Arabidopsis thaliana: one gene and its partners. The protein of the gene in region 4 interacts with the protein of the main gene of each other region in a pairwise test. Each region holds a gene or a part of one and is shown on either strand. Other genes may lie near its edges. The genes, in order: AT3G06600, AT5G49540, AT4G17430 and AT3G02880.

Region 1 (9,464 bases), 1.4 Mb from region 4:
ATCATCACATGCTACCATAATCAAAACTAAAGTTAACCCATTATCTTCCTACATCTACTATAATGTATTTTAAAATTCTAAATGGGAAATTATTTTCTTTCCACTTTATTGCAGTACAAATCTATTTCATGTTGAAATTTCATATAGTACATAAGATGATATAGTACAAAGCCATATTGAATGAACTAAAAGTACATCAAAAGTTCCATATTGGTTTAGTTATCACATACTATGAGGTTAAAAGAGGAACCCATTTTCCCACTAACTCCAATAACGAATTCATCAATCTTATTTTTTTTTTGATCAACAACGAATTCATCAATCTAAATCAAATAATCCAACTACGATTTGAACCCTAATGGTAAAGACTTTATTAATCAATCATATACTTAATTTAGACTTGAGGATCGTAAAAATGGGAAGACTCGGTTCAAAATTTACTTTTACTTGTAGCAGAGAAGAATCAGCGGTTGGGAAGAGTAGTTACAGATTATAATCAAACCGAATCTTCTATATACACATAAGCTGTGAAAGATCGAGAGATGGTAGAATTAAAAAGACGATTTTAACCTCATCAAATCGGTGGAGGAGCTGAGCCGTAGGAGGAGAGAAGCTGAACTAAAGAGTTCATGGCTCTCACTTGCATCTCCAGAGCCTGAATATAATCAGTTGCTTCTTCTAGAATCACCGGTACGGATTGTTTACCGCAACCGGGAACTAACCGGCCTAGAACACGTACTTTCCGGTTAACATCCGGTATACTCTTCTTATTCAATCTCAACACCGACACTCTCCGTTTTCTCGATCTGTTGCTGCTGCTACTAACCACCGTAGTCATGGCCGGAATCGCCATCGTAGCTCGAGGACGTCTCTGTTTACGAAATTTCAGTTTGATCCGATTAGCTAAGATCGCTCTGCTCCAGAGTGTTCTTCCCCGAGCGGAAACGGCAAGAGCTCGATCGGCGGCTTCACGGACGGCCTTTCCTCGTTTCTGAGCCGTTGGAGATGATGATGTTGAGGCGGAAGAGTTGAGGCGGACTTGTTGGAGCGCTTGGAACAGTTTGGCTGAGTAGATCCGTTGTTGCTTCTCCGATCGCCATCGCGCGTGAATCTCACCGGAGACGGAAGATGCGCTTGAACGAGACGATGCGGCGGATGAAGCAGAGGATCTCTTCTTTCTCCGAACGAGATCTGAAGTAGTACTCGTCGGCGGTTCAATATCTGAGATCAGAGACGCCATAACCAAATAATTGGCTCTGATCTCCGCAGTCGTATTGAAAGAGCTACAGAATCCGAATTTATCTGAAGTTGAGCGGAAGAAAGTTATGAAATTGTGGAGAATAATGGAAGGGAGAAGAAGAGGAAGATATATAAAGGGAGAGAGGTATCAACTATCACGAGACGTAGCAGTTAACAAACGGCCCCGTTTTAGATGTAGCAGTTAATAAGCGGCGTCGTTTTGTCAATTTGTTTTTTAGTATTTGTTGTTTTAGCCAGATACGAAAGTGGCATTTGTAATGCATGATAAAGAGAATTCGTGAATACCACCAAGAAACAAATAATTTCATTCTCAACACTAGTGGAATTGATAAGTTATAATTAACTGGCTCTATAACCTCTAATGGTTTTGGAATAATGAGAGACAGAGACATCATTGTGACTTGAAGCAATGTTTATGAATTATGATTATACTTAAAAAGTTTTGTTCCACGTTGATTAGTTCACAATTATTTTTTTAAACTTACCCTCTTGACAGAGATTTTAGAAAGAAATTTATATACAAAATTTCTTACAATCACGAGTTTTCGATCTTTTGTAGACATAATCTAAATAGAGAGTAAAATACATAATAGAAATGCTACAAAGATCCTAATGTGGGTAGAGCATCCATAACGATAGTTTCCAATCAATTTAGGGTACAATCTTAATTACTAAATTAGCTTATTGATATCTAAAGATGTTTACGAAAAGAGAAAACAAACAAACTTGTATAAAGGCCGATACTTTGGTGGAATGGAGGAGGAAGGTAGATTCAAACGAAAGGATGACGTGTCATATTACTATTGGAGAAATCCATTTACGACTTATAGTGGTCGTTTAATGGACTGACAGGGCAAAAAGAGAGGGGCCAAAAACTCAAAACTTTGGATTTTGTATTCAGTGCAATGATTTCGTAAATATTGGAATTGTATTTAAAATACTACTTTACGCATAAAGTAATATACCAAACGAAATGCATGTGCGATGTAGGGTTAGTGGCACTGCCTCTCTTTACGGCTTTTTTTTCTTTCCCTGTAAAGAAAAGATCACTGAAATTAACTCCTGTATTTTATCAAAAAAAAGTTTTGTATGTGTATCTATCAATATGTATGAATAAAATTTCATTAAATTTTGTGTATATGTATAAGTAGATATAAGATTAATAGATTGTTGGGTAAAGTATAAGGGAGTGGCGTCATTTTATTCATATATCCTGCTGAAAAAAGGAGCTTCTGAACTTCTCCATTGGGTTAATTCATATATAAATAAAGCTAGCTACGTTCAAACTAATTTTCTAGAAAAGTTACTGTTAGTTTGATTTTTGTTTGTACTGTTCACTATGTTGAGTTTGATCAGCAGTTAAAATGGAAAATACCTATCTTAGTTTATGTTAGACATAAAAGTACCACAATGGTATATATACTGTATTAAGATGTTTTTAGGCGGGTGGAAAGGATGTTAGAAACAGAGCGCAATGCGCAATGCTTCATAGATAATAGTATTCATTTAACCTAAGGGCTAAGGGTTAATAATTGTGTCAGTAACGTGGCATATTCTCTGTACCTTAGAAAGTTATAAGCTAGAATGATTCCACATGACAAATTAATGATAAGAAACAACATATCCAATTATTCACTAAAGTGTCACTTACAATAAAATAGTTTATCTACTTCGAATTTAAGAATATATTTTCGATTTAGATACTTAAATTTTCTCAATTTATACTTTAGAATCAAGCAGAAAATTTGTTGGTGAAGAACAAAGCAACCTAATGAATTATCTGTTTTACGAACTGAGTCAAAGAAACCACTATTCGAATCTGCGATTTGCGTAATTCTCATGGGCTCTACTTCAACAACAACAACAAAAAAAACATGTATCACAAAGGTTGCTGGCTGTAATTGTTATCTTCCATTAATAGAAATAAATATATTTCGGATTGGAAGTTCAAATTTGTTACTATGAAAATTTACTACTGTAAATCATAATTCCAGCTATCTAAGGTTTTCAAATTTATTTGCAAATCATTATGTATCTCGGATGTAATGAGTTTTTTCTTATTATATTAATGAAAAAAGTTGATAAGGAAAGGAAAACTAACTATTAAGTATGATGAAGGTGGCACAGAGATTGCCTCCCTAATTCTAGACACCAAATAAACTAAGTGAACGACAGACAATGGAAGAAGAAGGACTAGTTTCTTTTTAAAGGAAGAAAAAGGGAAGTATTGATTAGATTAACAGATGATGATGCTCAATCATTGTTTTTTCAACGGGTCTATTTTGGATTGCTAATATGAAATGATTAATAGTCTTTTGGTAAATTTAACATCAACTTAACAACACTTTTCAGAGGCAAATATGAAAACACTAACCTGTGTAGTTTTTTCTTTTTTCAAATGATATTTCCAACTTCTATGTGTTTCGCTTCATCAGAAGTAGTTGATTTTTTGTCCCTGGTTTCTCACAGTGATAGCAGCCAAATCCTGTTTAAATAGTAGAAATATGATTATTGTTAGATTACGTACACTAATTTATAAGCATTTGGAAGCCTAACTCTTAAGTTGCCATCATTGTTTTACCAACAACACTGAGCAAACGTGACAATTACTTGACCAATGACAATCTTTGTTGTGAATCGAAAAGCTGAATTTCCAACCCATGATTTGCCTAGGTTTAATACCAGCTTTTCATCATACACGTGAAAAATAATTACTCCTAAATCTATAGTGGGAATCCAATTCGAAAGCAAGACTCAGTTTCTCACAAAAAAGTCATAGACTGAACTATACAAACGCCACGAAAGTAAGCAAGAAAAATGATATAGACCATTGATTACGTAATACACAAAATATGGTCATTAATCAATGTCAAGACACAAGGACAAGACTGATTAAGAGAAACAAACAAAACTCTTCTAATTGGTTTCCACTAATTTAAATCACTAAGCCGGATTTTTCTTTAATCACACAGAAACTTTACTTCAAAAGTAAACCAACAAGAGCTGCTTCTCTTTAATACATGGCATATATTAGTATATTCTCTGGTGTTTAGTGGCCTACTACTATATTAATCTCCAGTAGAAAAGCCAAACACCAGTCTGGATTATTCTGTCATTCATTTTCTATATACAGGACTAGTTTCTAAATCCTAATCTTTGTACCATTATCCATAATGGAGAATAAACCTAACCTAATACCTCGAAGAGTTTATCCTAATAGTTGTGAAAGATCAAATCAAGTAATTACCCAAAAAGCTTAACAGGCTGGACTTTCCATAGGATTTGTCTGGCTTAATATACAAAAATGTAAAGAACAGCTTGCATGAGAATGGAAACAAAGGCTAGCACATGTCTTGGTAAGATCTATATAACCTATCGATTTGAGATGCACATAGAAACAAGCATGCTATATATATGAAGCAAATAAATTAGGTGGGGTTGCATTACATTGTATCAAACAGAGCTAAGAATGGAACACATCAAGGTATATTAGAACCTAGCAACTTAAATGCTACAGAAGCCTATGTATCAAATGTGTGATGGAGAGAAGACTTTGCATTTGGATAACACAAGTCACCATAGATGAGACGATCAAGTGTCATATCAGTTGTGCCAATAAAATTTTAGGGATCAATCATTGGTTAGGACTTAGGAATGAGACTAACTAGCTGCTTATGAGGCCTACTTGCAAACTCACTCTCAACCTACCAATGGATCTAGTGAGAGACTACTTGGTTTGGGCCTAGCATGAGCTAAATTTAAAACATTCAATCAGAAGGCTTAGGAAGTTTAACATTCAACAAAAAGGACACAGAGAGAAGAAGGTAGCATTTCAACCGCATAAGACTTCACTGAGATATCTGTACTTACTTTTACTAGAGAACGTGTGTTGCAGTTATTTTTAAAGAGTGAATTCTAAAAAAAAAATAAAAAACAATGTTAGAACTGATCTTTCCTTTGGTAGACACATCCCAGTAGTTGAAATATGTTAATAGTGTTGAAGTTCAAGAGGTGCTAATAGCCAACTTAAACTAAACAGCTGTGACCTTCATTAGCAGAGATGCAACATAAAATGACAAACAGGATAAATGTGCTATTGAAGGCAGATCAGTATACAACCCCAATCTTATGCAACGTTGAAATTATTATTGTTATCATCCTATGAGAAGGAAACCAGAATCAATGTGACAAAGGTAAGAAACGTAAAGTGAATTACCTTGAAGAATCATGTTGGAAGTGGTCCACGGTAAGCACGTTCCTCTCCTGAGCTGAAGAAGACCACAATCGCAGCTAAGATAGCCCAAAGAATGAAACTCAAAAGCACAATGCGGAATTTCACAGTAACAACTCTATCGACCCAGTTAATTTCTGCAGAATTGTCAACTGAACAGATCAGTTTTTTCAGCTCATTGATCTCCCCACGCAAGGATTGCACAGAAGCGGGCAAGTCCACAATCGACTGGATCCGATCAGTAGAAGACGTGTCAATACGAGCCTCCACACTAGTAATGGTTGAAACTGGAGAATCATCAGCCGGAAGACAAATCTCTGGGGTTGACATTAAGTCTAGGCTCGATCCTTGAATAACACTCTGAGGAGAGAACAACATAATTCGAGCCAGTAATCAGTACCCAGACACATAATGGCTAAAATTGAGGTTTAATCTTTCCAATTCGTCATCAAGCGCAGACAAAATCGATTCAATTTTCGAAAATTTAACATCTAATCTTAACGGATCTGAGCGTTTACAAAGCAACACAACGAAAAACTTCGATGGAAACTAAACCTAACTAAAACATTGGAGCGAAGCATATACCTCAGCCTCGGAATCAGAGATCGCACCAGAAATCTGAGAGATCGGACTAAAATCCATCGGATCCTTCGTGCTTTCAAAAGATACGTCGGAAAATGTTGCGATCTGTCTCTTCTCCGTCGTAACCTTCAGTTCAGAGAAGCATTGATTCGAATTTGAGTAGAACGATGTGGGAAGAAGAAAACAATGGCGATTTTAAGGATCGATCTAATAAAATTACCTTCCGATTCTTCATCTCAGGATCCTTGAGTCTCTTAGCTCCGAGTTCTGATGAGCGCGCGAAGCTTTTCCTGGGAATTTGAATTTCCTTCATCTCTCTCCAATGTTTTCAAATTTGGAGCTTGTCAGTTTTCGAAAATGTGAAATAGTGAGTGAACTACAAAACTATCAAGCAAGATAATTTTATTTGTAGTACGCTTCTTACATGGGCTTAAGGGCCGATAACTATTTTTATTCAAGGCCCAATATAGATCGTTCTCGCTCATCGCAAAATTAACCTACTAAACCGGAATTCGGTTCGGTTGTGGTATTGTTTAGCCGGTTTGGTTCCAGCCTCACCCGATAGAATTAGCCTTTAGGGTTTCTAACGTCGAAGCTTGAAACACTATCGAACCTCAAAATCTCTGTTGCCGGAAATTTTCTTCACCGAAACTGAAAGAAGTCGAAAGAGAGAAGAGAAGAAATTGAAGCAATGGAGGGAGCAGAGGAAGCTGGGGCTGAGATAGCGGTTGATTCAAAGGACTTGCAGCAACAAAGCAAAGCTTTCGACAAGCTCACCGATCGTGTCGAGGATCGCCAGCTCGATTCCTCTCGTGTTCAATCGGTATGTAACTCTTTCGTGTCCTGATTTCTGAAAATATTAGGAATTCCGAAATTTTTTTAGCTCGATTAGTAAATTGAAAAGTCGGTATCGTGTTTCAGGCTATGGCTTCGATTGCTGCTTCTAGGGAGGCTGATCTGAATGCTAAGAGGTTGAGGTAAAAACTCTAAGCTTTTCCCGTGTTCTAAATTCTGAAATAGGAGATTATTAGCAATGCTTAATGAAGCTGTAACATAAGTCAAACTCGTTTGTTTCCATTCCTAATTCAGAATTAACTTGATTAATTTGATTACTGCGTTACACTTGTAGTTCAAACTGTAGCTAATCTCTCTGTACAAATTGGTGTTTATCTGTTTTTTTGGGGCTTGGCAACACTTAAGTCTATCTATTTAGACCAAGAGTGTCAATTTTGGAGAATCTGTTTGTTTTTTTGAAATTACTCACATCTAGATAGTATTGACGCCAGATATCAGTTGTGCTGTAATAGCTTTTACTAGAGAAAACACAGCGAGAATGATCAACAAAACAAGTAGAACTTATTATTAATAAGTGATTGAATGTGATTTACGAGTCAATATCATCTTTCGGAAAAGATTAGACTTTTCGTTGTATTTGATTGACAAAGTATTGGAACTTTATGCAGGGAGAAAGAACTGGCCTCTGTGAAGATCAATCCTGCAGATGTTGAGTTTATTGTAAACGAACTTGAGGTTAGCTTCTTTTTATTAGCTTCTTCTATGCATGTGTTCACAAAGTTCTGAAGTTTGTCACCATTGTAAATGAGCAGATAGAAAAGAATGTGGCGGAAAGAACTCTAAGGGAGCACAAAGGTGATGCGGTTGCTGCGACTAGGCAATTGCTTTCACGATATCCTCTATGATGGAGCAGGACCATTCTTTACTTCCAAGGTTTTTTGTATGTTTGAGAGGTTGAGAGCAAGTCTCCTAATATTTAACCGAGTTAAAATTGTCTATTGCTGAACCGATCTCTCTGAGAAGCCCTGAATACAGTTACAATCGATTCTGGGGTGGTGTTTTGTGGTTCTACCTGAAGTTTGAAGTTCAATCTTATTATCAAGATATAAGAATGTGTTCTTCGTTTACTTGGTCTTGGAGCTGTAAAAAGCTTGTGGGATAATCATGGAACATTGGTACAGTACTACTTCAAAGCAAAACAAAATAGAAATACATTCAAGTTTCTAGAAAAAGTTTGAATTAGACTGATGCACAACGAGAACTTCCAAACGAAGGTATTCATTGAAACAAGAAGTTTGTTGATCAACCTGTAGGTTAGTGATAACTTCTAATTTGACAACCTTTCAACGTAGGTATAGATTACATAAATCCCCCAATAAATGTCTGTTCCAAAAAAAATTGGTGTTACAATATTCTCTCAGAACTAGAGTTCCAAACTCCCTTTTTTTTCCTCTGTACAAAATATCATCAAATGGTTCTACCACACTTGATCGCATAAATGTTTAGTAAGAATAATATATGCAATCCAATCTCTTGCCCAACCTACCCAACTTTGCAACTTCACATCAAATCCCTTTCACGCACTTTCTTTAAGCTTCCACCAGAGAAATAGAGACCAGAACCGACCACCAGAATTACAGTAACTAACCTGAGCAATACGTTTCTTTTGGTAGTTTGTGTAATGACCCAAATACATCACAACACAACTCCCATAATTTCAGTGGCAGTCTCTGCTTATAGGTCTCCTCCACGCTGTAATTACACATCAACCCACTGGTACTACTGCTCAAACAGACCCATTCTCTATCTTTCTCTGTTCTCATGAACGTCTTTGAGTCTTGAAGCATGGCATTGAGGAACAAAAAGGTAAAAAGGCTCAACTTTTATTTTAATTAGTTGTCCTTGAGAAGAGAATTGTCAGATAACGCAGCACGAGTCGCTTGGAACTGTATCATATACTTTCTTTGCAGGTCTCTTAATTTATCCATCAGTTCTTGGAATGTGGGTCTCAGCTTTGTATCACTGCCGCGTGGACAGACCAAAATAAAAACACAAATCAATGTCAGCATCAGCTATGTAACATGTAGAACACCTAAATCAAGGAGAACCATAATAATTAAAGGCTACACACGGATTATGCAGTGTTCAATATGTTAATGTACCTGTGCCAACAGCTCTCCATTAATGAGATCCAACGAGGATCAATGTCTTTTGGGATTTCCAGCCTCTGGTCCATGAACCCCACAGCTCCAATCACCTGCACATATTTCAAATAAGCATCTCGTCATACTTGATTCGTGTATAGAGAGAGGATATGCAGTGAAACTGAAATTGGAAGTTTTCGGCAATCAAGTCGTGCAATGGAATTAGGAGTTAGGACATCAAATTCGTAGCGATGTGGTATAGTATGACTATATATAAAGAACACACTTCACTTGTATCTTTACATTTTACAGCAAGTACAATCGTTTTTATGGTTCCCACTCTCTTAACTCTCAAGTCTTAATTAGTACAACGGATTTTAACATATCGACCCTGGAACTATTCTTCTGACATAAAGATTCTAGTTATTTGTTTTAGCATAATTGACAGAACA
Region 2 (6,146 bases), on a different chromosome or scaffold from region 4:
CTCCAGATATCTTAACGGGATGATGGCGAATGGGAACTCTTCGATAGATTTCAACATGAGCCCGTATGATGCCTTTCTCTAAGTTCGCATGAGATAATTTTGGGGTTTCCTGCTTACTTTAAACTTTTTTTCTTTTTCTTAATATCCTCTTGTATTTCCTTGAAGGGGCACTTATATCAACGAACTATGCCGTGGGGGAAGCAGCAGAAACTCTGAATCGAAAGAAACATTAAAAAGGTACAAAATATCAGGGTCATCTAGTTAACATTTGTCATCTAATCCTCGAAAAGGAATTCACTGTCGCTTTACCAATGTCTGGTCTCATGTGTCATCTAGTCAACATTTACACCCTTTCTTACGTTCCTTAATATCCTCTTGAGTTCAGGGTCTTGCTCTCCCTACCACTTAAAGAACGTGTGCAAAAGTTGCTCTGCGAGGTTGGTAGCTATTGTAATCAGCATTATGTTTCTCAATTTCCTGTTCTTTTCTGTTTTTCAAGATAATGTTTATATGGTTCCTGCTCCTTAGTTTTGAATAAAATATAAGCCATTTGGCTAACTCGTTTGATCATAACAGGGATCTCCGTTGATTCGATACAGTGTTCTTAAACACTATGCTCCTGAGTTCTCAGACGAGGATTTCTTAGGGGCCCTCCAAGAATATGGCAGGTTAGTTCAAGGTTTATGGACTCCTAAAACTAGGCTACTAAAACTAGACGGGCCTGTAGAAGCTGCCAGGGATTATGTCCTGTCTCTGTTCAGCCAGAATACAACTATAAAGTACTCTGAAGTTGAAGCAACGGGTGACAAGATGAAACCTTTGATGGAAAGAATGTTGACTGAATTTGCCAAAGAAAGGCATGTGCTAAAAGATTGGAAGTTCAAAGAGCCCACTGATGTCTCATTCATAAAATCCTACCCGGAGATTGTTAAGGAGCAAGATATTTTTTGGACGGATAAGAGAGAGAATCTAAAGTCGAGAATAACCGCCCAAGGAGGAAAAAGTAGAGCTGATAAAAGGAGGAATGTTGTTGGCACAAGTTCTTCAGTTACAGTTAAACCGGAGGTTCCAACAACCCTCTCTGACAAAGGAGGAAGTTCAAAAAATACGATACATCGTGTTGTTACACAAGAAATGCCAGAAGAACTTAAGAAGGCGTTACCAAAGGCTTTGAAAAAGGTGTTTCAAACTCACAAAGTTTGCCGGTGAGATTCTTGGGAACTATACTTGCAATTATCTGAACTTCCGAGTTTTCAGATTTATTTTTTTGATAACATGTGAGTTTGTTTACGAAAAAGGAAGGAGAGTTAATTCATAAACCATTTTGTGTGCAGCTATGAGACGATCTGCCAAGGACTTAGGGATCTTGCAGTTTCGACATCGAATAATCCAAAAGCTGATTCAGGAATGGCGGTGAATGTGGCGCTAGCCGTGGATGCTTACCAGGGCGAGCTCGAAGACGTTATAAATGGAGTGGCTACTAACATTCACGGGTCTTATGTCTCCATATCGTCTCCAGACCATCCTGAATATGATTCTTTGAGGTTATTTTTTGTTGGAACATGATCACATTGGTTCTTTATTTCGGTTGAATCTCTAATTTCTCTGATTTTTTTTTTTGTTTTTATCATCAGGGAAGTGGTCATTAGCCTCTTAACCGGATCTCCACCTGGAACAAAGCTTATGAAGGCTGAGGTATTTGCAGCAGGCAGGACCAAACTTGAACGTGAAATCACCAACAACGAATATATAAAGGTCTTCACTTGAGCTCTCTTTGACTTTTTTTTTGTGTTTCGACCAAAGCGTAGTTTTAGTCTCTAAACTCTGTGTGTTGTGTGACAGGTGATGCACGAGATCTGTGAAACCAACTCTTCAGGATGGGTTTTACAGAAAGCTCGATGATGAGTTTATTAAATCATCATGACTAGATTTTAATGGTCTATAAATTTTGATATGAGTAAACGGTTCAGTAGTTATGAGATATTCATATTTTGTTTTTCCTTTTTGAAATCAAACAACCTTTTTTCTATTACTCAACTAGAGTTGGTAAGACAAGCCACACCAACACAGGAAAATAAACATAAGAAGCAACAAAAGAACTATACAATACACATAGACGGCTAAGTTCAAACTTGACAGAGAGTGTTCTAATGTTCTCTATTGAAATCTTAAGCATATTCGAATATATTTTACATGCAAGAATGTAAAAAAAAAAGAAAACAACAATGTGAACACATGAAATTGGAAGAAAGTGTAAATACTTGAAACTTTTCAATCTAAAGGTTTTCACAGTTTGATGTGATCTCAAATAACAAAAAAAGGTAATACGAACTCATAAACTGTTGTTCAAAAAGGGAACAAGAGAAACATTGTCAATCTAATTCAGTTTAGATGAAGAGGCTGCAAAACCCGAACTCAATCTTGTGTGCCGTTTCACCATCCTCATCTGGAGCAGAAGTTCCCTCAGAATATGTGCACCAAGTCATACGCAAATCTACTCCATTGTTAAGGAAACCTACTGAGACAAACAGAGAATAGAGAGAGCTGTTTTCGAGTTGCGCATATACTTGATTCTACACGAAGTAAACAAAAAGGCCATTTCTATGTTAATCACAGGTTCTTAAGAAGCTAATCATTTTTACCTACACCATACCATAGATGTTTTTCCATAAAGCTAATCAACCTTTGATTTAGTTTTGCACATTATCATAAAATGAGTATGACCACCAAATTGAGTTTAAGGATACGTCCAGAACAGCACAAACGACTGCGAAAAAGAAAACAACACCGCGATTAGTATGAGATTAACAGGTTGGATCAACAACATGTATCTTGAAGCAACAAACAATGTAATAAGAAAAGGAAATGAAGATATACCATAAGGCCACCAAGAAAACCGTCAAAAAGAACCCGATTCCACGAATCAAAGTACAAGTCAGCTGAGAATCCTGCCTTAGCCATGAGCCCAACAGATGTGATCAACATCACCACAAAGTAAAATACAAAACCAATCAAGCCATTGAATCCAATTATTCCTGCTAAGACACCAGCTATGATAGACAGAAACGTCCGGCTGCAAACACGAACAAAATGAGGGATAACAAGTCAAAAAACCCGAGAACCATCATCTTTTTAAGAAAACGAAAGAGAGAGAATTGTATTGAATCAGACCTGTTTTGAATGACTTTCAAATTGTTCTGCAAATTCTCTGCACTGAAAGTTGGTATGTCACTCATGATATCCTTTGATCTCTTCTCAGATGAACCCATTTAAGATAACAACAATCTGAAACAACATAAATTTCAAATCTTTGTATTGGATTTTACATTACAGTAACAAAAAAGGAAGAACTTGGACATCATAGAGTAAGTGTATAGATTACAAACCCAAAAAAGTATTGATTTTAAGCAAATTTCCACAGGAAAATTAGGGGTTTCTAATTGATTCAATGATTCTATAACTGGGTTTCGCTATCTAAGCATCACAATAAATTTCGATTCCTAAAGGTTAAGACTTTATGATTATCTCTTAAGTAGTCGAGAGTGGGAGCAACTATGATTAATCGATCTGGTTTTATCGATCTCTTCCGATCTACTACTTTGAGATCTACACAAACTTTGGAAAAGGAATTGATATAGACTTACAATTAGAAACGAGAGTAGTAAGAGGAAGATCGAAGTAGCTTGCTTTGGTACTTGGGATGAATTGAATGGAGAGGATGAGCCAATTTGAGAGAGAACAATCAGACGAATATCTTTAAGTTCTTTAGAGTGTTTTTAGACAAAAGAAAAACACAGAGAAAACAAGTAATATATAAACCGTAAAATCGAACCGGAACCAAACCTTAAACCGGATTGTCCACTACTAATCAAAATTAACAACACTCTCCAACTATGCTAGTTAAATTTCTTGATATTGAAACGGATAACATGATTATACATCACAATTTGTGATTATGAAAATTCGTTACTTACTACTAAAGATGAGCAGTTCAGTTTGTTCCAAGTTTTGGTTTTATAAAACCATCGCTATTACATTCAAACTGAAATTAATTCGGTTTGGTTTTGTTTGCTTAGGAGGTTTTAATATGTTTAACAAAACACTTAACCAATGCATTAGTAAGTACGGTAAATGGTTATATATGGAGTAGCGGTAAAAAAAAAACTTAGGTGCTTTTCGTTTGGTTTGGTTCCAGATTGATTTATGCAAATTTCAGTTTTGGTTAAACTTAAACCGAATGTAGACAAAATCATTCGTCGTATTCGTATCTAGCTTCAATATCAACTAAAACCAAAATAGCATTCCAGATCTCGATTCCAACAATCTCAGTAATGATAAAAATTAATTATTGCTACAATGCATCAGTCTGTAACAACAGAATCATTAGAGCGACGCTGATGATGAGGATGACGATACTCAGCTCGGATTTTAGATTCTAGGACAGAGACATATCGATCTAGAACAGAGATCACAGCTTCAAACTCCGACACTTGTTTCTCGATAGCATCCATTTGTCCTACAAATTCATCCAAGCCACCACTTTTTGATTTCATCTGTTCTGCGAAAACTCTGAGCCCAGCTGCCACGTCACCCATATCATCGTACTCTGACGCAACTCTCAGGTTCATCTTCTCCAATAGATCTAGATGGTTGTTCGTTCCCTATTTTTATCCAATTCAATTTCAGATCTGTGGAAACAAATAAATCTGTAAAATTTCGGATTGATTTTCACCTGGAGCTCGGATTTGACCATAGATGAAACACTCGTGAATAGATTTTGTAGCGATTCAGCTAGATCATCTCGTGAATCCGCCATTGATGAGGATATTTACTTCTTTTCGCAAAGACAAAGACAAAGACAAATAAACAATGGCTCTTCTGTTGTTTAGGGCACTTTCCATATTTGTTGAATTAGTGATATTTAGGTTAAGCTACACGTGGAGGCTTATTATTCGTTGATATCAACTATTGTCCATGTCTGTAAGCCTCTCCCTACGACAGAGGTTTTCAGAGCAGTAACAAACAACTTACACATGAGAGTTAACATTGCACAGTCTGAGATTATACTCGCTAGATTCTTTTCAAGTCTTGAAGAACAACATGTGCAGCGTTTCTTCCAGGTGCACCCATAACTCCGCCTCCAGGATGAGCTCCGCTGCCACACAAGTAGAGACCTTTCAAAGGGCTTCTGTAATTTGACCTGTTTCACACAGTCCAACAAAGTTTTGAATTTCATAATCATAAATCGTAAAGACTGTTTTGAGTACTTCGGAGTCACGTACCATCCTTTCACAGGGCGCATCAGGAAGAGAGAGTCTAATCCCATGGCACCGTGAAAGATGTTTCCGCCTGCAGAATACAAATGGGCAGTCATGTCAATATGGTTTGGCCATGTCGCATGTACTTGGGATCTTTCTCCAAGTACTTCACTTTATATACCTGTTAGACCAATTTCCCGTTCCAGGTCCGGAGGAGTCAACATGTCGTAGCTAATGATGGATGAGCTAAACCCGGGTGCATATTCATCAATCAGTTTGAAACACCTTTGTGCAAAGGCTTCCTGATTTTTACACAAGCAAAAGCAAATCCAGATGGGTTTGGCATGTCTTGTAGTGTAAAGGAATGTTTAGCCAAGCGTGTATAACAAACTAACTCGGTAAGTAGGATCTTCCCAGCTTCCATCTGAGGGCTTGTAAGGAGTGTACTGGATGAACAAGTTGATTACATGCTTCCCTACATACAAAATCACATTCAGAGTTCAAATCCTAAACAAGCAAAAGGGGGAGAATGTGTACCTGGGGGAGAAATGGTGTTGTCTAGTGTGGATGGAATAGTCATTTCGATCACTGGTCTTCTCGATGGTAAGCCATTTTCAGAATCATGACATGCTGAGTGAACCTCGTCCATGCTGACAGAGAGAAGATAGAACAGAGCCATTGATCACTTTTATTTGTATTATTATTTGTTCTTCGAGATACATATAATGAGGAACAAATTAGCACGAATGATACCTCTCTGCACCAATGTGTATAGTGCCAAAATGCTCTGGACCTGGACCTGAATGATTTGTGTTGCAGCACTGGAACTGTGGTAACTTGTCAACAGCCAAGTTTATTTTGGTAGTTGCCTGTTCACAACAATTAAAC
Region 3 (6,865 bases), on a different chromosome or scaffold from region 4:
AGAGCAGTAAGTTGAGATAAACTTTAGTTGCATACCAGAGCCGCCAGCGATAATAAAAGCAAGACCCTGACCAGAAAGCCTTTGTCTCAGAACCCCCTACAACAACGACTCTCTGACTTCAAGCCAAACATATATAAAATTTTCACATAGTAGCATCTACAAGAAGTAACTAGGAAAGGTATAACTCTTAAGTTTTGAATGAACTGTGCCAAAAGCCAATGCAATGTATTGTTTTCCTTACCTCAGCCCCAGCTGCAGCAATGTTTCTTGCTCGATGTCTCTGATACACAGTGTTTACGACCTTCACATCATGGACAGAACAGAGAAATGCATCTGGCTACACAACAACAAGAAAAAGTCACATCATTGAATGAGGAGGAAAAAGCTGAGAGCCAAGCAGCTAAAGATTGACGGCTCTACCTGGCATAAGATGTCCCCACCAAACATTGCCAAATCAAGCTTCACGGAAAGAAACAAGCCAAAGGTCACCAAAACACATAAGAACGAGATAAGGAGATATACTTATATCAAGCAAGATACTAAATACTACGGAAGGAAATCATGGCAAGTAAGAACCACTAACTGGGAGAATCCTTGCCAAAGAAGGTGCAGCGATACCAACAAATCCATCGTTTTGCCCAGTGTTACGAAGAACTATACTACTAACACTCTTTCCTAAAATCCATTGTACAACTCCAACTTCTTGTTCAGGGGTATAAGTATTATCCATCTCAATGGACCCAGACATGTAGCACATTGAACCTAAAGAACCATATATAATCAGTTAACATATACAATCCAACCCAACAGATCTTACAAAACTTAATGAGGAATCATAATATGGAAATTACCAGGCTTAGCAATGACCTTCTCTTGTGGTTTTAACATTATCTGTCAAAAAAACAATCAAATGCTTGAGTATATATGTCAATCACATAAACACAAAATGCCCAGACTACAAAATAAAATGTCGACCTACCTGAACAACCTGTGCTTCACCACCCAAAATTTGGAAAGGTGTGATCGTATCTTCTTGACTCTGCATCATATAACCACTTGTGAGATTCATACTCCCACAGACACATTCAAGAGATCAATTTCTCACCCAGGAAATAGCTTATTAGCATTATCACTGAATTAGATGTAAGTACACATCACATTACTCAACACCTACATGAGAAAGGATCCTAAAATACTCGCGAAGAAGTATATTCGAACACTAGCCTTCTCGATAGTGACAGACAAGAATACGAATCTAAGAGGCGAGAAGAGAACGAAGATAGAAGACAAACCTGATAGACATAAGGCTGAAATGGAGTAGAGAAAAACGGAGCAGCCATGGCGGTGAAAACCGCAGAAAGATCTTCCAAACAAAAACCTCCGAATCCAAATTTCCACAGAACCAATTGGATTAGAAAACCTTTCACGTCGATGCGAGACGATCAGATCGCAGATCCAAATAACACACTCGAAACACTCTGAGCTCTCTCAAAACTCCGGTCGAAATGTTCGCGGTGGATGTCACCGACGGGAACCCAACAAAACGACAGATTAAATTCGCTTAAATCGGCCTGAAGCTGCACGTGGAATCTGTTTACGTGGAGAGATCTCATTGGTCACAAAATACACATCGACGTAAAATTTCATTTCCGGTTTAATATAATTACATTTCTTCTCAACCAACCCTCTTTCACTAGATTTATTTGGTACAAAATTTCTTATTCAATAGCCGGTTTAAAGACATTGGTACAACAATTACAAATCTTGTCGACCACTAGAGACATCTACAGAACTCACAAAACCTTTACTAAGCAACCATCCCACGCAACCTTTACTCTTCCATTGTTGTGTGTGAATAATCAGAAAGGAACCAAGTAGCTTCATCTATTAATAAGAAACTTAGATAGTTTCCCAAATAACTTAACAACACAAAACAATTTAAGAGCCTGTTTTCATCACCAATAACTTCAAGTGGAGACAGATGACAGATCTATCATCTATCTCTATCCATCTCTATACAAAGACCGGCAAAACTTAATAAAATCACTACACATTGGCTCATCCACCAGATGAATCCAATAGAAATGCAGTCTGAGTTCAACTACTACTACACGCATTGTATTTCCTCATCATCTCTACACTATCAGCTATTGTAGACCCTGGAGTACCAACAAAACCCAGTGAAGCACAGCTACAAACAGCTTCCTCTATGTAAAGCTGCACATTGGATCCTCCATGAGGGTAACAATGGGTCTGCATCTTTTTTATACTATCAAGACTCATCGGAATAGACCCAAATTTCTGGCCGTGACTCGCTGAATCAAGTTCATGCTCTGTTCGCGCTAAGAATTCATCTTGTTCCCCTATAAAGTGGAGCTTGAAATTTGTAGAGTTCTTAGACAAATCACCCAAGTAAGTTCCGGTCCAGTTAAATTCAGGAAGGTCTGTCATTACAAACACATTAATTAGACCAGGATTCTTAACGCTCAAAGCTTCCAACTTCTGATATAAACCCGTAAAAGTGCTCTCCCGATGATTCTTGAACTGGCCATCTAGTAATCTAAGTTGTGCACAAAGAAACGGCGCCTTTATGGTTTCTGAAGCAAATTTCTTTCCCGCGATCATTATCTCTCGAACAAAAGGAAGGAAATCGACCTTCTCAACCAAAGATTTTATCTTTGGAGATTTATGGATATCGATATACAGCTCTGAGCCTTTGTATGGAGCTGTGAAGAGGCTCCCAAATGCTAGAATAGCTGCAGACTCAGCTTCTGTACCATGTCCAAGAGTCTTATACACATCTCTTCGCCTTCTCACGTTGGACAATTTCTTTTTCTTCTTGAGCTTCTCATCAGGCTGGAACGAATCTAATCTCCCATCAGCTTCTCCATTTTTATAAGTCCAAACAGTGGTTCTACAATCTTCATCCACAGCATACAAACATTTATCTACATTACCACGAACTCCAGATAACAAATAGCCACACTGTTTCAGTGACTCATAAGCCTGAGACTGTTCAGCTAAATCATCAGTGCATAGAGTCTCCAAGTCAACACCACACTGTAGTGATGCAAAGTACCTAAAATCAATGACTCGAACAGCCGAAGAAGATACCAGCGACGAAATGTCTACAATATCAGCCATCGAAACGTACCTATAAACACCAACATTTGTCACCCACATTGATCAAATTACTAAAACTCATTACGAAAAAAAAAAGAGATTTTGTACCTGTCAGTCTTAAGAAGCTCAATTGAATGATTCCAAACTGAGATTCGTATCTCGCTGGGACTCAAAACCCTAAATTTAGGACAACTACCGAGAGCAACGGCGTGATGATCCAGAATCGGAGGAATAATTAGGGTCCGATTAAGAATTCCCGCCATAAGAAGCGCATTCTTAAATTCCGATAGCTGATTACTGAATCCACTGTGAGGAGCGTACCAGAGAAACTTCTGACCTAGAAGAGTTCGGGTTAGTATCTCGGATCTGCACTGAGGGAATTGAACGGATCCAGAAAATGCAGAGATTGAGAACAAGGACTTGGGCATCTCGGAGTAAGTGATGAAGAAGACGACGATGAAGAACACAACAAGTATAGAAACGGAGCAAAGAAATATCGCAGATTTGTCGGTTTGCTTCTTCCTGTTTGGCCATGGACGTGGGCTTGGTCTACTGGGATTGAAGAAGTTGTTCATGTTTTTTGCTCTGAGGTTTTAGTCGCCATCATTGCGTTGCGTCTAGTTTTGCTCATGTGTAGAAGATGCCAAAACGGTGAGTGTCACTGTTTTGGGCCTAACTAATATTCTCTGATGGGCCTTAACTAAAATAATACGAACTTAAACATAGTTAATTTTAGAAATCTTTTTGTAACATAATCTATACGAAGCTATTTGCGCGTCCACATAACATTTTAAACAAGCAATGGAGATTAGATATCTTGCTAATTAATATTTATGAACTTATTTTTATTTTTATTCTTTTTAAATTTTTGTAAAATAAAATAAAAAATATATGAAAATAAAAGAATATTTAAAAATATAAAAAATTTCTAAATATTTTGTCACCAAAATAATATTAAAAATATCAAAATGTAAATTTCTATTTTATTAAATTTATACACAAAAATAAATTTAGGTCTTTGGACCTAACTAATAATATTCTTTGATGGCCTAGAGAAATCGAATTCACTAGATGATCTAATATTTGTTGATTTTTAGTCCAAAATCGAATTCACTAGAGAAATTAACCTATTTAGCACTTACATGAATATATTGATCATCATTGATAGACTTAAGCAGTTGTAGTCTTTTAAGCTTTTTACGGGTTCTTTTTTTTCTCTTCTTTTCTTTAAGATCTCTTTATTTATATGTCTAAATCTAAACGTAATTTTCTGGATTTATTGTTAACATATATTAATCCCCATATCAGAAGGATGATAATTGATGTTGATATATCAGGATATAAAATAATTAACTAATGATTTATTTTAGCCAACAAAATATAACATACTTTTAACAAATCGTGATCGAATAACAATAAATTCTAAATAACACTTTAAAACACTAAAAGTCTTTTGAAATCATAAACCAATAACACCCCATGAATAAAAACATAATTAGAAACTTACGCATGCATCAGCTTCCGTAAATCTCCTACATCTCTCTCTCTCCTCTCTGCTTTTTACCTTCTAGGGTTTTTGATCATCTCTCAGGTGAATACGTTTTGGTATAATCTCATACCAATGTCTGCGAATTCCAAGTCGGAGAGGTCTGCTTCTCAATCGGCGGAGACGGTGGCTGTTTCTAACCGTGTCGTGGCGTCACGGTCAAGTCGTCAGCCGCGTCTCTCTTTCTCCTCCTTTGCTCCCTCATCAGAGCACGATAACCTGAAGAAGCTGAAATCCGATGAGATTTCTCCCGCGAGAGAGGAAGTGCCGGTGTCGGTGAAGGAGAGAGAAGAAACGGAGGAGGAGGAAGCGAAGAGGACGTGGAATCTTCGTCCGAGGAAGGCTTATGGTGGTTCGAAGAAAGGAAACGGCGTGTTCACGGCGGAGGTTTGCGGTGGCGGCGGAGGAGGAGGTTCGGAGGTGAAGAATCAGAAATCAGGCGCAGGAATTGAGCCGAAATCGAACAGGCAGAGAGGAATCCCGGCGGAATCACCCGGATTAGGCGGTGGTGAGGTTGCAAACGAGAATCATAGGCTTTGGGTTGCTCTAGCTCGAGACGAGATCGAAGAAGATTTGTTCAGCATGAGTGGGAACAGGTCATCTCGCCGGCCAAGGAAGAGGGCAAAAGCTATGCAGAAACATCTCGATGTAAGTCACCAGGTGTTCGACGAATTGCCTCACAGAGAATTCAAAACAATGACTACGTTTTTTTAGTGTCTCCATTTTCTTAGGCAATTCAATGTCTGCCATTGTAGGTCATTTTCCCTGGATTGGGTCTCGTTGGGATGAATGCTGATTGCTTCAGAGTAGCCACTTCTCCGGCTAAGGTTAGCTTTGATCAGTCCACTTACTTGCTCGATGAAAGCTTGGATCAACCTGCCCTTTAGCTACATTGATCTGTAGATAGTATGAAATGGATGAAAGTCTAGACCTTTAGGTGCTATTACAGATTTTATGAAGTTTCATTCTATGTTAGCTTTACGTAACCTAATGGTACTGCTGCTTTAATGATACAAAACCCGTAACAGCGATTGTATTCCATTTGCAGTGATGATCGATGCAAAGGAGTCTTTTGGTGAAGGAAAAAGGTGAAGTCATCTCCCTAATTGAAACTTATCATTTTCATGGATATATGGTAACGTTGTTATGATATTACATTGCTTGATCTTGTTGAGGTTTGTGCTTAAGTAGTTGGATTTTGTTTCTGCTTTGTTGCAGGGTAGATAGGTATGCTGGTGATCGAGAATCCAGATACATCACAGTAGAAGCTAGGAAGAAGATATCTCAAGAGACATGTTCTTGTCTCATATCAAACTTAGTAGTAACTAAACTATAAGTAAATATCGGTAAGGTCATATAATTATAGATATATATAAAGAGAGAGAGCGAGAGGGGTTTGTTTTTGAGTTAGTAATTAAGATGCGTCTAAGTTTAATGGCAGAGGAAAACAACATAATCTATGTTTAAAAAGGGTTTTTTGAAACCATTTATAACTCTTATTAGCACAGACAATGATTTATTAAACCATATATAACTCTTATTAACACACATAGTTAGAAAGTGTATTAAGATCCATATAAGTTTTTTTAAGTACAATAAGGTTTCTAAGAGAATAAAAGCAAATTAAAAACCTGCAGATAACTTTGAGAAGACGGCTAAAAATAGTTACAGTTCTGCATTAATGTTTCTAATTATTCCAAAAATGTGAAACTAAGAGTGTAGTTTTTGCTTTTACGCTGGTTTATTAATCACACAGTTGTTTCCTCTGTATGACTGTATTTTTTAAAAAATCTGCATACCCACTTAACAACAACCTGCATAAAGAAAATGGCTCACAGTTCATATTCATGTGATTGCATCTTAAGGCTTGAAGTCCTAATGTGAGAATGGAGTACCTAAACCACAATAAGCTAAATGGGCTAATATTCATGATTTCAAATCCAAAAGGCCCTAGAATACCACCAGTTACGACTTCTCTTTCTTTTTTAGGAAAATGTGATTTCTTGTAAATTTTAGTATTTAATTTGCAAGAGCATGCTTACTTTGAAGAAGGTTTGTTCCATTAATTATGAACTCTTCTCATTATTACTATAATGGGAATGATTATATAGGGGTTAGAGCATATAATTGGTTATCTTAGGCCTTTTGTGTTTCATTTTCATCACATGATGATTCTAGTCCACAATCATTTGACTC
Region 4 (7,350 bases):
GATTTGTTTTTTGTTTGTTTGTTGTGATATGCTTTTTTGATGGAAACTTCAATTGTAGAGTGCAACTCAAAGTGTAGCTTCCGTTGTTCAGCAACATCACACAAGAAGCCATGCATGTTCTTTTGCCTCAAGTGTTGCAAAAAATGTCTTTGTGTTCCTCCTGGCACTTTCGGCAACAAACAAACTTGTCCATGTTACAACAACTGGAAGACTAAAGAAGGCCGTCCAAAATGTCCTTAAAACTTCTTTTTAGATATATTTGATAATATTCATCTAGTTTTGGATTATCAAACACTTACTACTCTGTTTTAATCTGTTTCTACAAGTTGGCGATTTGTCTCTACACTTTTTTTGTGTCTTTTGCTCTTAACTGTTGTGTTTGTTATACGTGTAAGCCCGCCCAATGTGTCATGGCCGAACTTATTATGGTTACATATTTATGAAATGGGCTTCATTATCAATTGATTTGAGCCTACAAAAATGTAGCCATAAAGCCCATTAAGTTGTAATTGTTAATATTTCAGTCATAAATATGATTTTCTATATCTATGATTTATCTCTAGTGTTGATGATGTTTGTATGTGGAAGTCATGTTCTATTTGCTTCCACGGTTTAAAAACCATCAACTTGCTAAGGTCAAATTCTAATATTACTGTGAAAAACATTATTTACGTGCGTAATTATATGAATTTATGAATAGGTTTTAATTCCATTTTTTCCTAATAGTGTTTTATGTCAAAGAGTATCCCACTAATAAATTTATTGAACCCCATGTGCATATGTACCCAGTCTGGTACGAGTTGGAACATGAGATAAAGTTGTGGCAACTGCCCATGACTCGGTGTAAATGGTATATCACATGAAAAATTATAAGTCCAGATCACAATATGTTTTCTTCAAATAATTCGAAAAATTATCTAATCGATTTCCCTTTAAGCTTGAACTAAATAGTTTATCAGCACTAGTAATTCTTTCATACAAAATCTCTAAGCAAATATATATCTTTCTGGGTCAATGTTGTTTTTTCATATCTAAAATGTTTTTTCTTTCTCCTGTGAAGTAGGGTTATTAGTTAGTGGTTACCAACTTCACATTATAAAACTTCATATCTAATCAAATCGTGAAGTATTTGTCAGTCAATCGTGAGACGATATTCATGACCACTTTTGTCGTTGACTTTGTTTTTGGCTCAAAATTTTGGACGGCGATAAAAAATAAAACTCGTTGACATTGTTTTTTGGCTGAATCGTTGACTAGGATTCTGGGATAAGATGTGTAAAGAAGAAAACAAAAACCAATTTATTCACACGCAATCAACTATATATTTATACAAAAATTAGCAAAAGCAATAGTTTTATAGACATTTTTAAAACTTTGGAAATAAAGAAAAGTAGAAAGAAAGAAAAAAAGAAACTGATAGGTCTCATCTCAATTTGAGGCTCAAGAATTAACGAACAAACTAGAACAAGAACAAAGAAGAAGAAGTAGAAAAAAGGCGGGAAGTGGGGTCGACACTATTCAAGAAATTGCAACTTGACCCCAAACAATATTCAAATCAATCAATTTAGACCCCCAAAAAATCAGTCGGATACAGGATTTGGGGAGCCAGATGAATGAGAAACCTCCTCAATGAGTCTGGTGACTTCAGCCATCGAAGGACGACTATCTGGGAACTGAGCCGTACAGCTCATACCGATCTTCAATAAACGAATGATGTTCTCATTGCCCTCAGGTTGGTACCTTGTGAGCTCGGGATCAAGCACATCGGACGGTGTTTGTTGCTCGGTAACAGATTGGACCCATCTCGGCAAATCTACGCCTTCTTCATTCAACTGCTGATGCGTTGGAGACTTACCTGCAATGTAATGTTCCATGTTAAAACCTAGAAACCACAGCAATTGCAAAAAAAGCAGTTAAAAAGATATATCTATCCTTGATTGTTTGTTACCTGTGAGTAATTCAAGGATTAGGACGCCAAAGCTATAGACATCAGCTTTTTGGGATATTTTGCGAGCATCAGTGATTTCAGGGGCACGGTAGCCATCAATACGGTTAGGTGCAGATGTAGAACTAATGATGGGAGCAAGACCGTAATCAGAGACCTTAGCTTCATAGGAGTCAGATAATAGTATGTTCGAGGACTTAATGTTTCCATGAGAAGTTGTCCCATCACGCGAATGTAGGTAGCTAATCGCTCTTGCAGCTCCTAAGGCTATACCGGCTCTGGTTTCCCAGTTCAACGGAGTTCTCCCGTTTCCTTTGTTCCCTACAAATCCATTAAAAGAGCTTCAAAACCGAGCTTGAAGACACATAAGATAAACTAACTATGAAACAATTCAGTAATCAGTGTCAATTTTAGCCAAACCAGGTCCATCAAGATCACAAACTAGCATCAGCTAAACTAAGAACCCTAAAAATAAACAAATGCACAAATGGAGATTACTATTCTATACCGTGCAATATCGCAGACAAGCTTCCTTTAGACATGTACTCAAAGACAAGAAGCTTCTCGTCACGGCTGAAATAGTAAGCGATCAGAGTCACGAGATTGGCATGACTCATTGATCCCAAAACATGCAATCTCTCTCTGAACTCTTTCTCAGGCACCACAACATCTCTTAACCGTTTCACAGCCACCACTAACCCATGCTCAAAGCTTGCCTTATACGACGACCCAACTGTTCCTTTCCCAAGAACCTCAGCTGAAGCCTTCAACAATCCATCCAAATCGAATTCCCCGAAAGATTTCACGAAAAAGGTCAAATCTTTATTCACCGCACCACTCTCCGACCCCGTAGCCTTAGCCGGCGGGACAACAACCACCGTTTCCTTTGGTATAGCAGCGGAGGAAGTCGCAGCAGCGACAGGAGCTTCAACATTCCTAGATGGAACGTTCTCTTCTTTCTTTCTCTTTCTACAGAGACAGAACAGAATCAAAAGAAGCAGTAACAGACCAACAACACATCCGATCACAATCCCGACAATAGCTCCGGCGGATAACTTGTCGCTATCTTTCTTCTCCGGCGGCGTATTGGGTCCTCCAGCGTCACCACCATTGGGGCTCTCTGCCTCACAAGTGTCTAAAGGCTTCCCACAGAGAGTGTTACCTTCAAAAGCAGTTCGAGGCCAAGACGACAACGAACTCGGAATAGACCCGTTTAACTGATTAGAAGAAACATTGAATTGCTGAAGAGGAAGCGTGATCTCAGGGATCGGACCAGAGAGTTGATTCCTCTCCAAATACAGAGTAACCAACCGGGTCGCAGAATTGACATTATCCGGGATCCGACCCGAGAATTTATTCTCCCCTAGATTGATTCTGATTATGCTCGGAAGCGTGAAGAGAAGCGACGGAATCTCACCGGAAAAGGCATTACCTTGAAGATACAAGTAACGGAGGAGAACAAGGTTGGAGAAATCCGAAGGGATAGGACCAGAGAGAGAATTGAACCGGAGAGAAAGAGTCTTAAGCTGGGTTAGATTACCAATACCACCGATTGGTAAAGAACCGAATAAACCAGATCCGGGTAATCGGAGAGCCGTGACCCGACCCGCATCGCAGTGGACTCCGTGCCAATTACAAGGAGAAGAAGCACTCATGTTCCATAGCAAAGGACGGCCACGGACACTGTTACGAACAGCGAGTAAAGCTCTCCGGTCAGACTCTAGATCTGAAGTCACCGCAGCGAGATAGAAGACAAAGAGGAAGACAACAGAGAGACTTAGCTTACGCTTATACTTCATCTTCTTCTTCTTCTTCAAAAACCGTGTAAATTCTTCGTCTCCTTGGTTCCAAAAATTCAATAAATATATCGACTTTTTCGGATATGGGTTTTTGGAAAATTTATTTCGGCTACGCGTAAACGAGTGTTTGAACAAAGAGACTTTTGTGTTTTTTGGTTTACAAGAGTTTCAGCTCTGTCTTTCTTCTCTCTCTAGAGCCGGCTAAGAGAGAGAAAATGGTCATAATTGCAGAGAAAAAGGAAAAAAAGAAAAGTTACTAATTGGAATATTTCCTTTTTGACAAAAAAGTTAAAAGAGAATCTTATGTATTTAATTTGACAGCTAATTTACAGAAAGATAATTAATTAATTATAAGGTTATGACTTATGAATACTAGTTGTAACAATTTTATCAGAGTCAACTATATTTGCGTTACATAAATGACAATAAATCACTGCAGTAATGTTTTTTGTAGACGTTTAAACGACCTCTGTTTTTCCTTTCTTTTGTATTAGATCAATAAATTAGGTCTAATTAAAAAATTAATGGTCGTTATCGTTTTGTTTCTTTTATGTTTTTTTTTTTTGCAGGTTGAGTGTGACCAAAGACATGCCAGGTCTGTCAAATGTGTCTGAGCTACCGTTGACAAACAAAGATTAGCCTCTCCGACACCGTTTTTATTTCTGATATAAGTTTGTACCATAGACATTTTTTTTTTTTTTTTATGTATTTGTTGTATCAATTTGAAAGGAAGGTAATAGAAATGGTCAACAGAGAACTTAAGAAGTGGTATTCATTTTGAAGATTTCAATTGTTCAATTTTTAAAACTCTTACATCAAATTTATTTTAATAGAAGTGGTTGGTTTCTCGTGACTATTAACAAACATTCTTCCCAACCCGAAACCTAACCTCACCTAACTTTCAAGTTCAAATACAAATAGATGATGACTAATATAAGCTGATTTTCTCCCAACACCTTCTATAATTCACTCTTAACCTCTTCTTCATGGCTATGACCATGTTCGTCCAAATAAGAAACGGCCATAGCTGCGTGAAGAGCAGCCCCAACAGGAAGAGCTTCTTCATCAACAAAGAAGTAAGGCGAGTGAAGCGGCTTACCAGCGCCTAGCGTCTCATTCTTTACCCCCAGCACGAAAATCGCAGCCTTAGTCTTTTGAGTGAAGAAGCTGAAATCCTCTCCTCCCATTGTCACCGGGAAATCATGGAAGTTATTCTTTCCAATCATCGCTTCCGCTACTTTTTTACCGTGCTCGTATAAGCCCTCGTCGTTATTCATTACCGGGTGAAGCGACGGCTTTTTCTCTTCGAAGTTTACTTCTGCTTTGCATCGGTATACCGATGCTTGTGCCTCTGAAATCTGCATCATCATCAAGAAACATTTAAACAGGGTTAGGGACCTACATTATTCGAATAGTAGAACAAGATTGTATAGAAAAATGGTGTAAAAAACAATCTCTTTACCTCTTTGATCCGTCTTTGGATAAATAGAAGCCCATCGTTGCTTAAGCTTCTGAAAGTACCTCCAAATTTCGCACTCTGCGGTATTACGTTTTGAGCATGACCTCCTTCAATATATCCAACTGTAACCACCTGAGAAACATAAAAAAACCAATCTCCGCTGATTTCAGCCAAGATTCTGATTCATCAAACACCAATGCTTTGAAAGTGGAAAGCAAACTTACACCAGCTTCGAGTGGATCCAGTTCCCGCGAAACAATCTGTTGCAAGGCAACAACAGCGGAAGAAGCTGCAAGAACCGGGTCTTTAGAGAAGTGCGGTGTAGCTGCGTGGCTACCTTGACCGTGAACCGTGACTGTAAACAATCCTGCACCTGCAAGAACGGTCCCAGGCCTAGAACCAATACCACCTGATGGGATCGATGGAAAGACATGAACACTGAGTATCCCATCTAAGTCGTCTAGAATCTCGTCTTTTAGCATTTCATAAGCACCTGCATAACCTTCCTCGCCTGGTTGAAACACAAGTTTTACTGTCCCCTGTTGCAAAAAAATTGTGTTTTCGTTCAAAACCCTCATAAGATTCACCAAACTCTCATAAGACACACACACTAACAACTCTAGAAAACACACACACATAACAATTAGCAATCAAAGACATACACACACATATATCTAAGAATCTTAGAAAACACTAACCCACATCGAAATGAGTTTTAATTGCAGGGCACAGACAGAATCATTCAAAATTATACATATAAATTGAGTGAAAGAGAAAAAAGAGAGACCTTGATGAGGTGTTTTGTGGTTTGAAGAAGCTTAGCAGCACCAAGAAGCATAGCAACATGAGTATCATGACCACAAGCATGCATCTTTCCATCTACTTTACTTTTCGATTCCCATTCCACTAATTCCTTTTTTTGTCCCCATTTTTTCAAATTCATTAGTCAAACAAAGCAATCTAAAAATCAGAGTAAAAATCGGAACTTTGATTATTAGATTTCAAACCTGTAACGGAAGTGCGTCCATGTCGGCTCTAAGTCCGAAAACAGGTTTCGAACAGGATCCGATCCAAGCGACGACGCCAGTCTTCGCCACAGGATACTTATACTTCACTCCAAGCGAGTCAAGCTCGTCTCGAACGAGTTGACTCGTTTTGAACTCCTGAAACCCTGTCTCTGGGTTCTCATGAATCTTTCTCCTAATTCCTCTCATCCACTCGAAGAACTCAGGATCCTTGGCTGAATGAAGCATCCCGCGAGCGAGTGACTCGAGACCCGAACCAGAATCGTAGCTCCCAGCTGAAGACAGAGGAGGGAGAAAGAAGAAGGTAACGAAGATGACAAAGAAGCTCCCTGAGAAATCCATTCTGATTTCTTTTGTTTGTCGATGTAAACTGGCAAGTGTCAATGAAAGAAAGGACAACGGTGAATACGATGATGATGAAGGAGAAGGAGTTGGATCACCGATCCATTTTTAATATTTATATAGTACGTAATTTACACACGTTTTTGGAAACTCTTTTAATCGTTTTTAAATACGTATACGCCTCTAATGTGAAATTCATAATTTATGGTTGTAATGTGAAGAAAATAATGAAATACCAAAGATAAAATATGAAAATGATACAATGTAGTATATTTACGGTATAAAAGGAATATTTACTTGAAATGAATTAGTACGTTTAATACACGATTTTACCATTTATGTTAATGAAAATTAACACTTTTAAAATAAAACATGGCATGAATTAGAGTTGTGAGAATCACATGTAGGCCTTTAAGGTTCTTAAATTTTTAATTCCTTATAACATAGGCCCATGTATTTGATTGACATATAGGCCATTGGGTTCTTCGACTTTTAAATTACTTATAACAAAGGCCCACCTATTTGAAGCGCATTGTTAAACATTTTGTTTATATTTTGATTATGATCGAAAATTCTCTAGAACAATTCGTACAAAAGAAGCTGTTTACGAAAGTAGCTGTACATGCGAACATAATCAATAAAAATGTAAATGACTAATGAAACATCAGAATATCCGTACAAAATTGTGACTTTATATTATTTAGTTATAGGTACAAAGTTGTGGAGAGTAAAAAAATAAAAAAGGTAAAAAGTTGTGGAATAGACCTATGAAACAATCAC

What was found.
Region 1: the proteins of AT3G02880 (region 4) and AT3G06600 interact in a protein complementation assay, tested with the Arabidopsis thaliana proteins (one large-scale study listed by BioGRID).
Region 2: the proteins of AT3G02880 (region 4) and AT5G49540 interact in a protein complementation assay, tested with the Arabidopsis thaliana proteins (one large-scale study listed by BioGRID).
Region 3: the proteins of AT3G02880 (region 4) and AT4G17430 interact in a protein complementation assay, tested with the Arabidopsis thaliana proteins (one large-scale study listed by BioGRID).

What each region holds. Positions count from the first base shown.
Region 1 is NC_003074.8:2,054,073-2,063,536, forward strand, and holds AT3G06600 (uncharacterized protein), read right to left. Parts: upstream 6,442-9,464; 5' UTR 6,387-6,441; coding exon 6,294-6,386; intron 6,200-6,293; coding exon 6,077-6,199; intron 5,852-6,076; coding exon 5,486-5,851; 3' UTR 5,477-5,485; exon of another isoform or gene 5,280-5,476; intron 3,746-5,279; 3' UTR 3,635-3,745; exon of another isoform or gene 3,406-3,634; intron 2,293-3,405; 3' UTR 1,551-2,292; downstream 1-1,550. Other genes in the region: AT3G06590 (basic helix-loop-helix (bHLH) DNA-binding superfamily protein), read right to left, coding at 575-1,240; AT3G06610 (DNA-binding enhancer protein-like protein), read left to right, coding at 6,765-6,896, 6,995-7,050, 7,537-7,603, 7,681-7,773; AT3G06620 (PAS domain-containing protein tyrosine kinase family protein), read right to left, coding at 8,761-8,890, 9,031-9,125.
Region 2 is NC_003076.8:20,102,341-20,108,486, forward strand, and holds AT5G49540 (Rab5-interacting family protein), read right to left. Parts: upstream 3,939-6,146; 5' UTR 3,645-3,938; intron 3,286-3,644; 5' UTR 3,270-3,285; coding exon 3,172-3,269; intron 3,074-3,171; coding exon 2,878-3,073; intron 2,768-2,877; coding exon 2,748-2,767; coding exon of another isoform or gene 2,738-2,747; exon of another isoform or gene 2,495-2,737; coding exon 2,464-2,494; 3' UTR 2,141-2,463; downstream 1-2,140. Other genes in the region: AT5G49530 (SIN-like family protein), read left to right, coding at 1-63, 166-237, 386-437, 577-1,205, 1,335-1,544, 1,635-1,755, 1,843-1,902; BLOS2 (biogenesis of lysosome organelles complex 1 subunit-like protein), read right to left, coding at 4,362-4,661, 4,733-4,816; AT5G49555 (FAD/NAD(P)-binding oxidoreductase family protein), read right to left, coding at 5,071-5,200, 5,283-5,349, 5,440-5,560, 5,654-5,733, 5,796-5,908, 6,012-6,127.
Region 3 is NC_003075.7:9,723,104-9,729,968, forward strand, and holds AT4G17430 (O-fucosyltransferase family protein), read right to left. Parts: upstream 3,732-6,865; 5' UTR 3,699-3,731; coding exon 3,232-3,698; intron 3,155-3,231; coding exon 2,098-3,154; 3' UTR 1,607-2,097; downstream 1-1,606. Other genes in the region: AT4G17420 (Tryptophan RNA-binding attenuator protein-like protein), read right to left, coding at 36-96, 242-337, 421-459, 584-762, 852-891, 980-1,039, 1,293-1,340; AT4G17440 (chromogranin (DUF1639)), read left to right, coding at 4,745-5,317, 5,425-5,556.
Region 4 is NC_003074.8:631,213-638,562, reverse strand, and holds AT3G02880 (Leucine-rich repeat protein kinase family protein), read right to left. Parts: upstream 4,099-7,350; 5' UTR 3,745-4,098; coding exon 2,454-3,744; intron 2,267-2,453; coding exon 1,949-2,266; intron 1,856-1,948; coding exon 1,581-1,855; 3' UTR 1,279-1,580; downstream 1-1,278. Other genes in the region: GASA5 (GAST1 protein homolog 5), read left to right, coding at 59-240; ILR1 (Peptidase M20/M25/M40 family protein), read right to left, coding at 4,704-5,102, 5,207-5,335, 5,428-5,742, 5,991-6,116, 6,211-6,570.